Linked DNA regions of Nothobranchius furzeri. The protein of the gene in region 1 purifies or fractionates together with the protein of each later gene. This does not show direct contact. Links are inferred from orthologs where the notes say so. Each region holds a gene or a part of one and is shown in the gene's direction. Other genes may lie near its edges.

Region 1 (5,950 bases):
CATGTTTGTCACACAAAATGTTTCTGATCATCAAACACATTTAACCATTAGTCAAAGATAACACAAGTAAACACAAAATGCAGTTTTGAAATGATGGTTTTTATTACTTAGGGAGAGAACAAAATCCAAACCTACATTGCCCTGTGTGAAAAGTAATTGCCCCCTGAACCTAATAACTGGTTGGGCCTCCCTTAGTAGCAATAACTGCAATCAAGCTTTTGCGATAACTTGCTACGAGTCTTTTACAGCGCTCTGGAGGAATTTTGGCCCACTCATCTTTGCAGAATTGTTGTAATTCAGCTTTATTTGAGGGTTTTCTAGCATGAACCGCCTTTTCAATCAATCAATCAATCAATCAATTAGACTTTATTGTTACTAAGGTAGCGCGACTCATGTTCCGAATGATCGCAGTCACCAATTCTTGTCATGTGTCTTACCCATGTATGTCTGATCTTTGAATTGTGTGCACTGAAACTCAATTTCGTTTCTCTGTATGTCCTGCACATGTAGTAGAAATGACAATAAAATGACTTTGAATTTGACTTCAGCCATATACGGTTTGTACACAGTGAGGCGAAACAACGTTCCTCCAGGACCAAGGCGCTACATGCAACATAAATTTACAACATAAAAATAACAGGGAGATCACACTATCTAAGGACAGAACAGACTGACCTAACATGACATGTCCTCTCTAAGTAGGTAGTACAAAGGAAAAAAAGAAAAACCGTAAACTTATTTAGTATGTAGGTAGAATCATACAATATTCATACATGGAGTAAAAAATAAAAACCACAATGCACAAACATAAACAACGTTGCACCATTTGGCTCCGGAGTGGCCGCTGCGTGCTACTGCCGCCGCCGCCATTGTCGTCTTGTCATTTTTAAGGTCATGTAGTAGCATCTCAATCGGATTCAGGTCAGGACTTTGACTAGGCCACTCCAAAGTCTTCATTTTGTTGTTCTTCAGCCATTCAGAGCATTGTTTTGTTTATTTTTCTTCTCTGTATTTTTATTTATATCTTTTCCTTCTCTCTCTCTCTCTCTCTCTCTCTCTCTCTCTTTTGCTATATTGTTTGATGTGTACGTGCTGTTAGTCAATAACGTTGTATATTAATCCAAAATGTTCAGGAATGTTTTTGTAAGATCTTAAAAGCAGAAATAAAAAAAAATAATAAAAAAAATTTGAATTATGGAACTTAATGCAGGGCGGGCATGAAAAAGACAAACCAGTTCCTCTTTCTTTATCCTTTTCATTGAGTCACAGAATGGGCAGTGATGAAGAAGAAAGTTGAAAAGAGGATTGCTATATCATTTTAATTGTGAGTCACACTAAGCAGTTGTAAAGTGAAAATGAAAATGCATTTCTGCAAATGCATTTTCATTTTCAGATTTGTCATTTCAAATTGAATTTTGTTACACATTTGCTGGCGTGTTATTTGAAAACTAGTTCTCAAATGCCTTTTTCTTTATCATTTTTCATGAAGTCATAGAATAAGCAATGATGAATAAGAAACTTAAAAAGCAGTTTTGAGAAATGCTTTTTCATTTTGATTGTGAATCACACTATGCAGTTGTGTTGTGAATATGAAATAGCATTTCTTCTAATGCAGTTTAATTTTCAAATTTGACATTTCAAATTTAATTTTGTTACATTTTTGCTGGAGTGTTATTTAAAAATTAAATCTTAAATGTGTTTTTCTTTATTCTTTTCATTAAGTCACAGAATAAGCAATGATGAAGAAGAAAGTTAAAAAGCAGAGGATTGCTTGTTAATTTTATTTATGAGTCAAATTTGGCAGTGGTAATATGAAAATGAAATATCATTTCTGCTACTGCATAATATTATTTCTGTAACACATACGCTTCCATATTAATTAGCCTGAGACGCCAATTAAACTTCAGTGTGATTGATTATAAGCAGATTTTGCAGATGTGAGGTCTGCAGCAGTTTCAGATCTCGCGGTGATAGGAAGATAACGCGGTACTTGGGGCACGCTCCAGCTCAGTGAAACGTCTTTCTCGAAAGGTAAAGCAGAACTAGCAGACACGCGGCGCGTGCTGCTGCAGAGATTTAACAAACATGGTAAGAAACGGTAATCTAACTATCCAAACCTTGCTCCAAAGTTTTCTTCGTTACTGTTAGTTACTCTTTTATACTAGTGAACTTTTAAAAAGACATTGTTAGTTTTAGAGGCGTTACTAAAGTCACGTCGAAGGCCTGCTAGCATCAGAGGAGCAGGAAACCGTCTTTGGTTGACGTTAGTGGGAATATTATTATATTTCACGGTTAAATGTTTGAACAGAAATCACACACCTGAATAAGTTGGTCGTATTCAAGAGGATTGCAACTGAATTTTACTGTCTAAAAGCAACACGTTTTTGCTAGGCTGTTAGCACGCTAGGTTATTAGCGCGCTCACGTGGGCCCGGGTCAACACGTGGGTTCTTCAAGGCGACGTGGTTACGGGTAAATAGTTGTGTTAGTTTGTTGAACTTTAAAAGTGGACACGTAAAGTGAACACAGGACAGTAAGCTGAATGCAACATACCTAAATTAGGGCTGCCTCCTGGTGACCACGTGCAGTCTAGTGTTAACACTTCCGTCGAGCAGGAAGCTTCCCTCCGACGCCTTAAGTTGTGTCAAACCCTGTTTCTGATTTATCTTGTGCAGGTTGTGCTCCGTGTGTTGTTCGAGCACGCGGCGGGCTACGCGCTGTTCGCCGTCAGAGAGGTGGAGGAGATCGGAATGCTGCTGCCACAGGTGAGTGCAGGATTTATCAAACCCCAGATTCTCGCCTGCCGGAGCTGAGATCGCTCACTGTTTATGTCTGACAGGTAGAGGAGAGCGTGCTAAGCGTCGCAAAGTTCAACAGCATAGTGAACCTGGCCGCCTTCTTCCCCTTTAAGTCGGCCCAGACAGCCTTGGAGAATATGAACGCGATTTCTGAAGGTTAGTGTTCAGTTTTTGTCTCACTGAGATTAAATCATCCTCAGTAGTAATGATGTGTTATAATCTGTCAATCCACTGAGTTAATATGATGACAGCCTAATGTGAACTCTGAACATCTGAGGATCTCCATGTGGTCTGGATTAAGCCTCCAGTTGTTAACCCAACTTCTGTTTATGTGGATTAAATAAATTACCTTAAAAATATTTATATGGTAATTATGATTATTTGTTTGTAGGTGTGGTTCATGCAGATCTCAAGCTGTTTTTGGAGACAAACCTACCCCAATCAGCAAAAAAGAAGGCTGTTTTGGGAGTTTCTGATGCCAAAATTGGAGCTGCTCTTCAAGAAGAATTTAATATTTCCATCCAGACTGGTGGCGTGGTGGCTGAAATAACAAGAGGTGAGAATTAAGTTTTATTAATGGCTCGATCTAAGAAGCCATAACAATCAGGTCACTTACAGATGGATTTTGACTTCACGTCTTCTGAACATTTCAAAGCTGTTGTGATGTGATCTTGTGATCCTGATGCTCATGAAGGCTCATACTGAAAATCTGAACAGCCATCAAAAAACAGCATTCTTTCACTATTCCCTCCCAGTACGAACTAACACACCTAGCCATTTCTCTGATTCAAACAGGCCTGCGTTTGCACTTCCACTCATTGGTGAAGGGTCTGACTGCCCAGGCCGCATCCAAGGCACAGCTGGGTCTCGGTCACAGCTACTCCAGAGCTAAAGTCAAATTTAACGTCAACAGGGCTGACAACATGATCATCCAGTCCATCGCTCTGTTGGATCAGCTCGACAAAGACATCAACACATTCTCTATGCGTGTCCGGTAGGATTCTGATCTGAAGGTTTATATTTGATCATATGTGGGGTATACTGGTTAGAATCTGTAAGAAATGTTTCTGCTGAGCGTTTCAGCTCATTTTTCTTTAATTTCATAAGTGAAATGTTTTCTTGAGCACTCCTCCTAATGCTTACCACAGGCAGCGTACCACAGAGAGCTGTCTGTATAGAAACAGGAGGTACAGGAACCTCTCCTAACGCTTGTGCTGTGCTAGCTTTAGTCTAGTAGGGCAACACTGTTGGGTGAGACAGGTTGTATTGAGATTTGTCACAATCACCAAAAACCCTAAGCTTGTACCACCTGTTTTTACACAAGGGTTTTGGTTTTATTTCCAGTGAGTGGTATGGTTACCACTTTCCAGAGCTGATTAAGATTGTCCCTGAAAACTCCATGTACTGTCGCCTGGCGCAGCTGATTGGTAACAGAAAGGAGCTGTCTGAGGAGAGTTTGGAGAGCCTGGAGGAAGTGGTGATGGACAGCACCAAGGCCCAGGCCATCCTGGATGCATCTCGCTCCTCAATGGGTGAGTAACATGTGCTAATGTGTTCCTGCTTTAACTTGTGCCCCTTTTTTGCCCACCTGGACCTCTAAATGTCCTTGGTGTCTAACACAGGGGGGTAAAGAAACTCTCTCATAAACCTGTAGTGAAGGCACAAACCCTCACTGCGGATCCTGTCGGGAGAAACAAGCTCATGGTTCAGATAACCAAACAGAATCATGAATTTCCTTCTGCTCACCACTTCCGGGTTGTTTCTATTTTAGGTATGGACATCTCTCCCATCGACCTCATCAACATTGAGAGGTTTTCCAATCGTGTCGTTTCTCTGGCTGCTTATCGGCTGGGGCTGCAGGAGTACCTGCGCTCCAAGATGAGCCAGGTGGCACCAAACCTGGCGGCCTTAATCGGAGAAGTGGTGAGCACAAGTTTATTTAATCTAGTTTTATGTGGACCAATGATGTCATGCCTAAATCTGTCAATCCACTGATTTGATGTGCTGAGAAACTCTTCTGGTGCTGATGGTCCCTGATGTGTGTAACTGGCATGCAGGGTAATGTAGATCTGCCAGTGGTGCTTGCCTGACTTCTTTTTTTTTTTTTTTTTTTGCTTTTAGGTTGGAGCTCGGCTGATTTCTCACGCCGGCAGTTTAACCAACCTGGCCAAGTACCCTGCATCCACGGTTCAGATCCTGGGAGCAGAAAAGGCTCTGTTCAGGTACTTGGGCGCCCCCCTCCCTGCTGGGGAAACTTGTGGTTGCAGTGATGGCAGGGCTGGGCTGGAGCAGAGCAGGGTGACTGGAGAGGGCTGAAGCCTTGTCTGGAGTGATCCCTCTTGCTCTAATGCACCCCCACAGTCTGAGCACCCACTCACAGCACAGAGGTAGAAAACCGATGAAATCCCTGTTTTAAATGAATCCGTACTTTGTCGGTGGTGACCGCTAGCTTTGAGAGAAAATGAACACCGATGCTGTCAACTGTAGTCAAGATTCAGTGTCAATGAACGAGCTGACCTGTAACAGTGGTGTAGAAGAATCCACTAGAGGGCGCTCATCTGGCTGATGTTAGACATGTAGCCGTGTTATTTAACTGTTCCTGATCTGAATGTGAAAGAAGTTCTGTTTTCAAACAGAGCCTTGAAGACTCGGGGCAACACCCCAAAGTACGGTCTGATTTTCCACTCAACATTCATTGGGCGTGCAGCCGCCAAGAACAAAGGCCGCATCTCCAGGTATCTGGCCAACAAGTGCACCATCGCCTCAAGAATCGACTGTTTTTCTGGTGAGTGGAGCTGCTGGGGCAGGACCAAAGCTTTCTGTCTGATTTGCAATGATGCTCATATTTTTCGTCAACAGCATTCATCCTTCGGGTTGATGTTGAGATAATGTTTTCTGAGCAAGGCTGTCTCGAGTTGGCTCTATTGTGGTCGTCTGCTGGTTTTTCATGGTGTGCATTTTGTTATTGCAGAGGTGCCAACGTGTGTGTTTGGTGACAAGCTGCGTGAACAGGTGGAAGAGCGACTGACGTTCTATGAGACGGGTGAAGTACCGAGGAAGAACGTGGATGTCATGCAGGAGGCTATGAAAGAGGTAAGATGGTGGGACAGAAAAATAGTTTCTTACTGTAAATGATGACCAGTCTTTCCCCGA
Region 2 (5,840 bases), about 3.7 Mb from region 1:
TTATCTCTAATGAACCTTGTGTCTGAGTGTGGATAATGATTCACTTGTTAAATCTACAATTACTAATCATACCATAATAATATTCATTTCAAACTTCAGTAATTCAAGCACAGATTAATCAAAAGATTATTGATCATTTCATATGACATTTGTTCATTCCATTTCACGATTGATTAACTCATATGAGCTGAAAATAGTCACTTTATTCAGAGGCATGAGGAATCCTGCAGTGTTATCAGAAGAAGGCTTTGTTTGGGAACACAGGCTGACATCGTGTTCCTCCTGAAATGTCAACAAGGTTTGCAGAACCTTGTTGCTTGTTGGAAGGTAGAATGTAAAATCCACCTTAGAGAATGGAATTTATGTCTGCCGGTGACCGGTGGCATGTAGGTCAGTTTTTAGGTGAAAACTGACCATTGCTGGACGTTACATCAGCGATTCTGTTCATAACTTTTATGGACAGGATTTCTAGGTGCAGCCAAGGTGTTGAAGGGATCTGTTTTGGTGGCTTAAGGATCAGGTCTCTGTGTTTTTGCTGATGATGTGGTCCTGTTTGCTTCATTGGACAGTGATCTCCAGCGTGCGCTGGAGCGGTTTGCAGCCGAGTGTGAAGTGGCTGGGATAAGAATCAGCTCCTCTAAATCTGAGACCATGGTCTTAAATCGGAAAAGGGTAGAGACAAGGTCCTGCCTCAAGTTAAAGGATCTCTGTGTCTTGTTCATAAGTGAGGGAAAAATGGAGAGTGAGATTGATAGGCAGATTGGTGCCGCGTCTGCAGTGATGTGGGCGCTGTACCGATCTGTCGTGGTGAAGAGAGAGGCGGAAGTCAAAGCTCTCAATTTACCGGTCAATCTACGTTACTACCCTCACCTATGGTCATGAGCTTTGGGTAGTGACTGAAAGAACAAGATCATGGATACAAGCGGCCGAAATGAGTTTTCTCCACAGGGTGGCTGGGCTTTCCCTTGGAGATAGGGTGAAAACCTCAGTCATCTGGGAGGGGCTCAGAGTAGACCCGCTGCTCCTCCACATCGAGAGGAACCAGTTGAGGTGGCTCAAACATCTGGTCAGGATGCCTCCTGGATGCCTTCCTGATGAGGTTTTCCAGACAAGTCCAACTGGGAGAAGGCCTAAAGGAAGACTCAGGACACGCTGGTCTCACGGCTGGCCAGGAAACTCCTTAGGATCCCCCTGGAGGAGCTGGCCCAAGTGGCTGGGGAAAGGGAAGTCTGGACCTCCATACTTAGGCCACTGCCCCCGCGACCCAACCCCAGATAAGCAGCCAAAAATGGATGGATGGGGTGACCTTTTAACTAGAATAGATCAGAGTTAAGCTAAAACTAATGTATACCTCAGGTTTATATACCTCAGCAGGGTGGCCCAGATTTGCTGTCAGGGTCTCTGACTGGCCCACCCTGAACCCCCCTACAACTAACCCTGCTTTTGAGAGTGTTGGAAGCTCTTCTGAAGAATTAAGTGACTGAATAATGCAGCAGCTGTTGATGGATTTAAACAACTGACCTTTGGAATAAAACTTGTATTATCTTGTGCATTCTCATGTGAATGTTAAATATTTAGCTGGTAATTTTTAATAGTGTGCCATCTTGATCTGATGTTCATATCATGGGATATCCTGGTTTAAAACTGCATAAAAATAATGATGGTCATATTTTCAGGTGAGTTATAAAACTGGTTATTCCAAGTTTTATTAGTTTGACTGTACTTTATAATCAACTATCATACATGGAAGTGCCTGTAAAAAAAAAGCTAAGGTTGTAATACACCTCCCCACCAGCAGGTGGCGAAACTTTCTGGTAGAAAAACCGGAAATTAAACATCTGACCTGCCTAGATAGACTTCCACGTGCGACACTGCAATAGTCACGTTGTCGGTCTCAGCGGTTCATCATGAGGCGACCAAGTAAGTTTAGTTGTTAATTAAGGTTTAGGCGTGTAAATATTTGTTTTATGAGCGTTTATATGTTAGTTCTTTACCATTTGTACGCGGTTTAGCGAACAGCAGCTTCTGTTGTTGTCCTCTAAGCTAACGCTGTCTGATGTCTTCCTTCAGAGTTAAAGAAAGCGAGCAAACGGATGTCTTGTTCCAAACGTTACAAAATACAGAAAAAGGCAAGTGGTGTCGTCATTTTTACTTACTATGAAAGGCCCCTGTGGTAATTGAGATTCACTTGGTGGTCTGACTTAGGTTCGAGAGCATCACAAAAAACTTAGAAAAGAAGCTAAGAAGAAAGGAGTTAAAAAACCGGTGAAGAAAGATCTCGGAGTTCCCAACAGTGCTCCTTTCAAGGAGGAGGTCCTCAGAGAGGCAGAGCAGAGGAGGCTCCAGGTAGGTCCTTCACTCTCTTAGGCATCATCACATTTTATCTACAGAGAGCTTCTAAAGGCTGATGCTTAAGGGATCTTTGCACTGCTTACAATGGTCTTTGTCCTCTGAGCCTTAAGGAGTTTTTATTTTTAGATTGAAGAAGAAAATGAAAGAAAACGACAAGCCAAAAAAGTGGAGCGAGCCCAGAAAAGGAAAAAGGAGAAGGAGGCTGCTGCAACTACAGAATCAGAACCTGATGCCAAGAAGACGCGAGTGGTAAAGGGCCATCTGATCCAACTGGTTCTTAAAAACAAAATCTGACTAATGTCGGCTGAGAAAATGAAGTGGAGCTCTTTGAAAATGAGTTTTCTCAGTTTTAAACTCTTAGATAATCTAATCAGTGCTCTCAAATTCACAAACCACTGGGATTTGTGAACTCTGTGCATACTTTTGCCAACAATTCTTTTAGGTTCAGTAAAAACTTAGATTTGCACAAGAGTAGATGGCTCCTAAACTCATTTAGAAACACGGGAGTAAGGATTTCAGGCTGGAAACCCCAAGTTTATAAACTATTACAATGGGTTTAACAGGGTTTTATTTTTTATTTTATGCTTCATCATTCTTGACCAACATGTCTGTCTTTTATTTTATTTATTCAGGATAAAACATCAAATCGTTCAGAGAAACAAGTAACTCAAAACAAGAACTCGAAACATTTTCTCTGCTCTCAAATAAAAAAGGTAAAATAACTTCATTCAATTCATTTTACAAGGAAGTAAATTTGTTTATTAAGGGTTGATTTTTTAAAATCTGTTGTAGACAATTGATGCCGCTGATGTAGTGATAGAAGTCCTTGATGCTCGAGATCCGTTGGGCTGCAGGTGTCCACAGCTGGAGGAGGCTGTGCTGCTCTCGGGCAACAAGAAATTACTTCTAGTTTTAAACAAAATAGGCAAGTGGACACCGCTAACCTGCAGCTGTTGAAGTCCGTACAAGTTTTCTGTTTGTGGTGAGGTTTTCTGTATTTTTCACCTTCTCATTTGCAGATTTGGTTCCAAAGGAGAACGTGGAGGCGTGGATGGAGTGTTTGCAAAAAGAGCTTCCTGTTGTGGCATTCAAAGCATCGACGCAGATCCAACACAAAACTGTGGTAAGAGGTGCTTTTTAAATGCTAAAGATTGTTTTTGTTTTTTTTAAATCCCGGCGAAAATGTGCAAATGTTTAGTTTTACTGACGACGGAGGACTGAGAAGGTTGAACAGCTTGCACCATGCTGTTGTAACAGGTTACGCCTCCAAGAGTAATTAACAAACTGCACATTTATGTCACTCTGATGGAAGCGGGGCTGATGTGTGCGTTTGTGGATCATTAAAATAGAATTAGAAGATTATCTTGTAATAAAAGTGCCTGTAGGTGCAAGCTTAGGCTGCTTTTTAGACGCAGATTTCATTTAATCCTGTTTTTTGTTTACCAGCAAGCCAAAAAGAGCAGATTTAAACCCTCCAATGATGTCCTGGACAAGTCCAGAGGAGCAGCCTGTTTTGGAAACTCTTGTCTCATTGAGATTCTGACCAGTTTAGCTGCTGAGAGACAAAGTGAAGCTGCTCTCAAAGTTGGTGTAGTCGGTGAGTCGGTTGTATTTTATCTCATCTTCATGTTTTCTGCAAGTTTTGGTGTTTGTTCAGAGTTTGAGATCATCTGATTTTTCCTCCTCTTGCAGGTTTTCCTAATGTAGGGAAGAGCAGCCTCATTAACAGCTTGAAAGGAATGCTGGCGTGTAATGTTGGGACTGTCAGAGGCACTACGAAGTAAGTAAAAGGAAATTAGATTGTATGTGTTTATAAAATGTGTTCTTTCCCCATTGTGTATTACATTTTCTTTCTGCCGGTCAGACATATGCAGGACGTGCACATCCTAAGGAATCTGAAGGTGATGGACAGCCCAGGGATTGTGGCGTCACTGTCGAATCCTGCCGTTTCCATGACTCTGAGGAGCCTGCAGGTGGAGGATGGTCACCTGAGCAAGCTTGATGCTGTCAGGACGCTGCTGAAGGAGTGCAACAGTAGCCAGGTGGGAAGCGCTCTCACTTCAGCAGGCTTGGGCTGATTTTGGTGCCTGTTGTGACGTAGTTGTTTCTTGTAGATCATGCTTCAGTACAACGTTCCAGACTTCAAAAATTCCCTGGAGTTTTTGACTCAGTTGGCTAAGAAACGAGGGTTCCTGCAGAAGGGTGGCGTTCCTAATACGGAGCAGGCGGCTAGCACTTTCCTTGACGACTGGACGGGGTGAGGGTTTTTTATTTATGCTTTGTGGGGATGAGCAGGATGTCGGTGTGGACATGAAGACAAAACGCACATCTGGATTTGATTTTGAAGACTTGTAATCCAACTCTGATCCGAACGCTGGCTGCAGCTACGCTGTGTCACAGATTTGGCTTCTGTCTTGACTTTTAATCCCAGAACTATCGTTTGGTGTCTCCTCAGAGCCAAACTAAGCTACCACTGTAAGGTTCCGGGCAACCACAGCCCCCCCACTTACGTGTCTGACACCGTGGTGGCTAAAATGTTCAGCGGCTGGGATCTCAGCAGGATAAAAGCGGGAAATGAGGAAACGCTGAAAGGTATCAGTGGCTTTTTCCTCTCCAAATTCTTAGGCAGCATTTTCAGTTATTATGAGTTATATGAGCGCCAGAAGCTTCTTCTGATCCTTTCTGTGTTTCTGTTTATTTCCTATGAAGGTGTTAAGTTTCCAAACCTGGCCAGCAGCATAAGTTTTCACTCTACAGGCCCAACAGCTGGTCTGCTGAGTGTGGCCGAGGTGTCTGAAGATCAACCCATAGCTGCAGAGCAGAACAAGGATGTAGAGGTGAAAACATGTTTTAACTGTTCAGCTGCTTAAAATCTCCTGGAAATGAGGACAAACTGTTAGTCTTGATTTGTTAGTGAAGACTTCTAATCCAACTCTGATCCGGCTGAGTTAGTGGGGCTCCTGTAACTGGGTGCGTGACGGAAATGAGGAGGATGAATCGTCTGTTGTTGTTGCAGCTTGAACAACCTCACCAGGACTCGCCTGAAGCGCAGCCGCTTGAGAACCCCCAGAAAACTTCACACAAAGGTACGTTTGTAGAATACAGTTTCCTTAATAAATAAACTGATTTTCTGCCTTTTGTTTGCAGAGAAACGGGTGAAATTTCAGCCCGTCCCCGTCGACATCAGCCTCTCTACAGTCAGCACAGACGACGCCTATGACTTCAACACAGATTTTAAATGAACTGATTTTATTATTCATGTCTGAATTTTCTGATGGCGCTTTTCCATTATGTGATGTGCTATGACTTTGGTTCTGTTGGCATCACCTGAGAGGAGGAAATAAAGAAGTTTTGTCTTTAACTCTGGCCTAAACGCTTCAGTGGGAGAAGATGAAGCAGGCATGAGTCATGCTGAATCAGACACCGCGTGATAGAAATCAGCCCTAAAATCTCTAAAATGTTGCTGTTTCTACCAGTGTGTGTGTGTG

Evidence for each region.
Region 2: the proteins of nop56 (region 1) and gnl3 purify together in Homo sapiens (affinity purification with mass spectrometry; 4 studies listed by BioGRID and IntAct, with this or other methods). This does not show direct contact. The link is inferred for Nothobranchius furzeri from reciprocal best matches to the Homo sapiens genes NOP56 and GNL3.

Annotation. Positions count from the first base shown.
Region 1 is NC_091743.1:55,550,168-55,556,117, forward strand, and holds the start of nop56 (nucleolar protein 56), read left to right. Parts: upstream 1-1,945; 5' UTR 1,946-2,085; coding exon 2,086-2,088; intron 2,089-2,552; exon of another isoform or gene 2,553-2,674; coding exon 2,675-2,764; intron 2,765-2,838; coding exon 2,839-2,953; intron 2,954-3,188; coding exon 3,189-3,353; intron 3,354-3,592; coding exon 3,593-3,791; intron 3,792-4,141; coding exon 4,142-4,329; intron 4,330-4,377; exon of another isoform or gene 4,378-4,496; intron 4,497-4,568; coding exon 4,569-4,720; intron 4,721-4,918; coding exon 4,919-5,019; intron 5,020-5,433; coding exon 5,434-5,582; intron 5,583-5,768; coding exon 5,769-5,890; intron 5,891-5,923; exon of another isoform or gene 5,924-5,950. UniProt on the Homo sapiens protein: Involved in the early to middle stages of 60S ribosomal subunit biogenesis. Required for the biogenesis of box C/D snoRNAs such U3, U8 and U14 snoRNAs. Part of the small subunit (SSU) processome, first precursor of the small eukaryotic ribosomal subunit.
Region 2 is NC_091743.1:51,872,678-51,878,517, reverse strand, and holds gnl3 (guanine nucleotide-binding protein-like 3), read left to right. Parts: upstream 1-1,797; 5' UTR 1,798-1,907; coding exon 1,908-1,920; intron 1,921-2,070; coding exon 2,071-2,129; intron 2,130-2,205; coding exon 2,206-2,346; intron 2,347-2,478; coding exon 2,479-2,601; intron 2,602-2,984; coding exon 2,985-3,065; intron 3,066-3,144; coding exon 3,145-3,277; intron 3,278-3,371; coding exon 3,372-3,475; intron 3,476-3,562; exon of another isoform or gene 3,563-3,685; intron 3,686-3,798; coding exon 3,799-3,949; intron 3,950-4,044; coding exon 4,045-4,132; intron 4,133-4,216; coding exon 4,217-4,394; intron 4,395-4,466; coding exon 4,467-4,609; intron 4,610-4,807; coding exon 4,808-4,944; intron 4,945-5,061; coding exon 5,062-5,189; intron 5,190-5,368; coding exon 5,369-5,438; intron 5,439-5,499; coding exon 5,500-5,594; 3' UTR 5,595-5,713; downstream 5,714-5,840. UniProt on the Homo sapiens protein: May be required to maintain the proliferative capacity of stem cells. Stabilizes MDM2 by preventing its ubiquitination, and hence proteasomal degradation.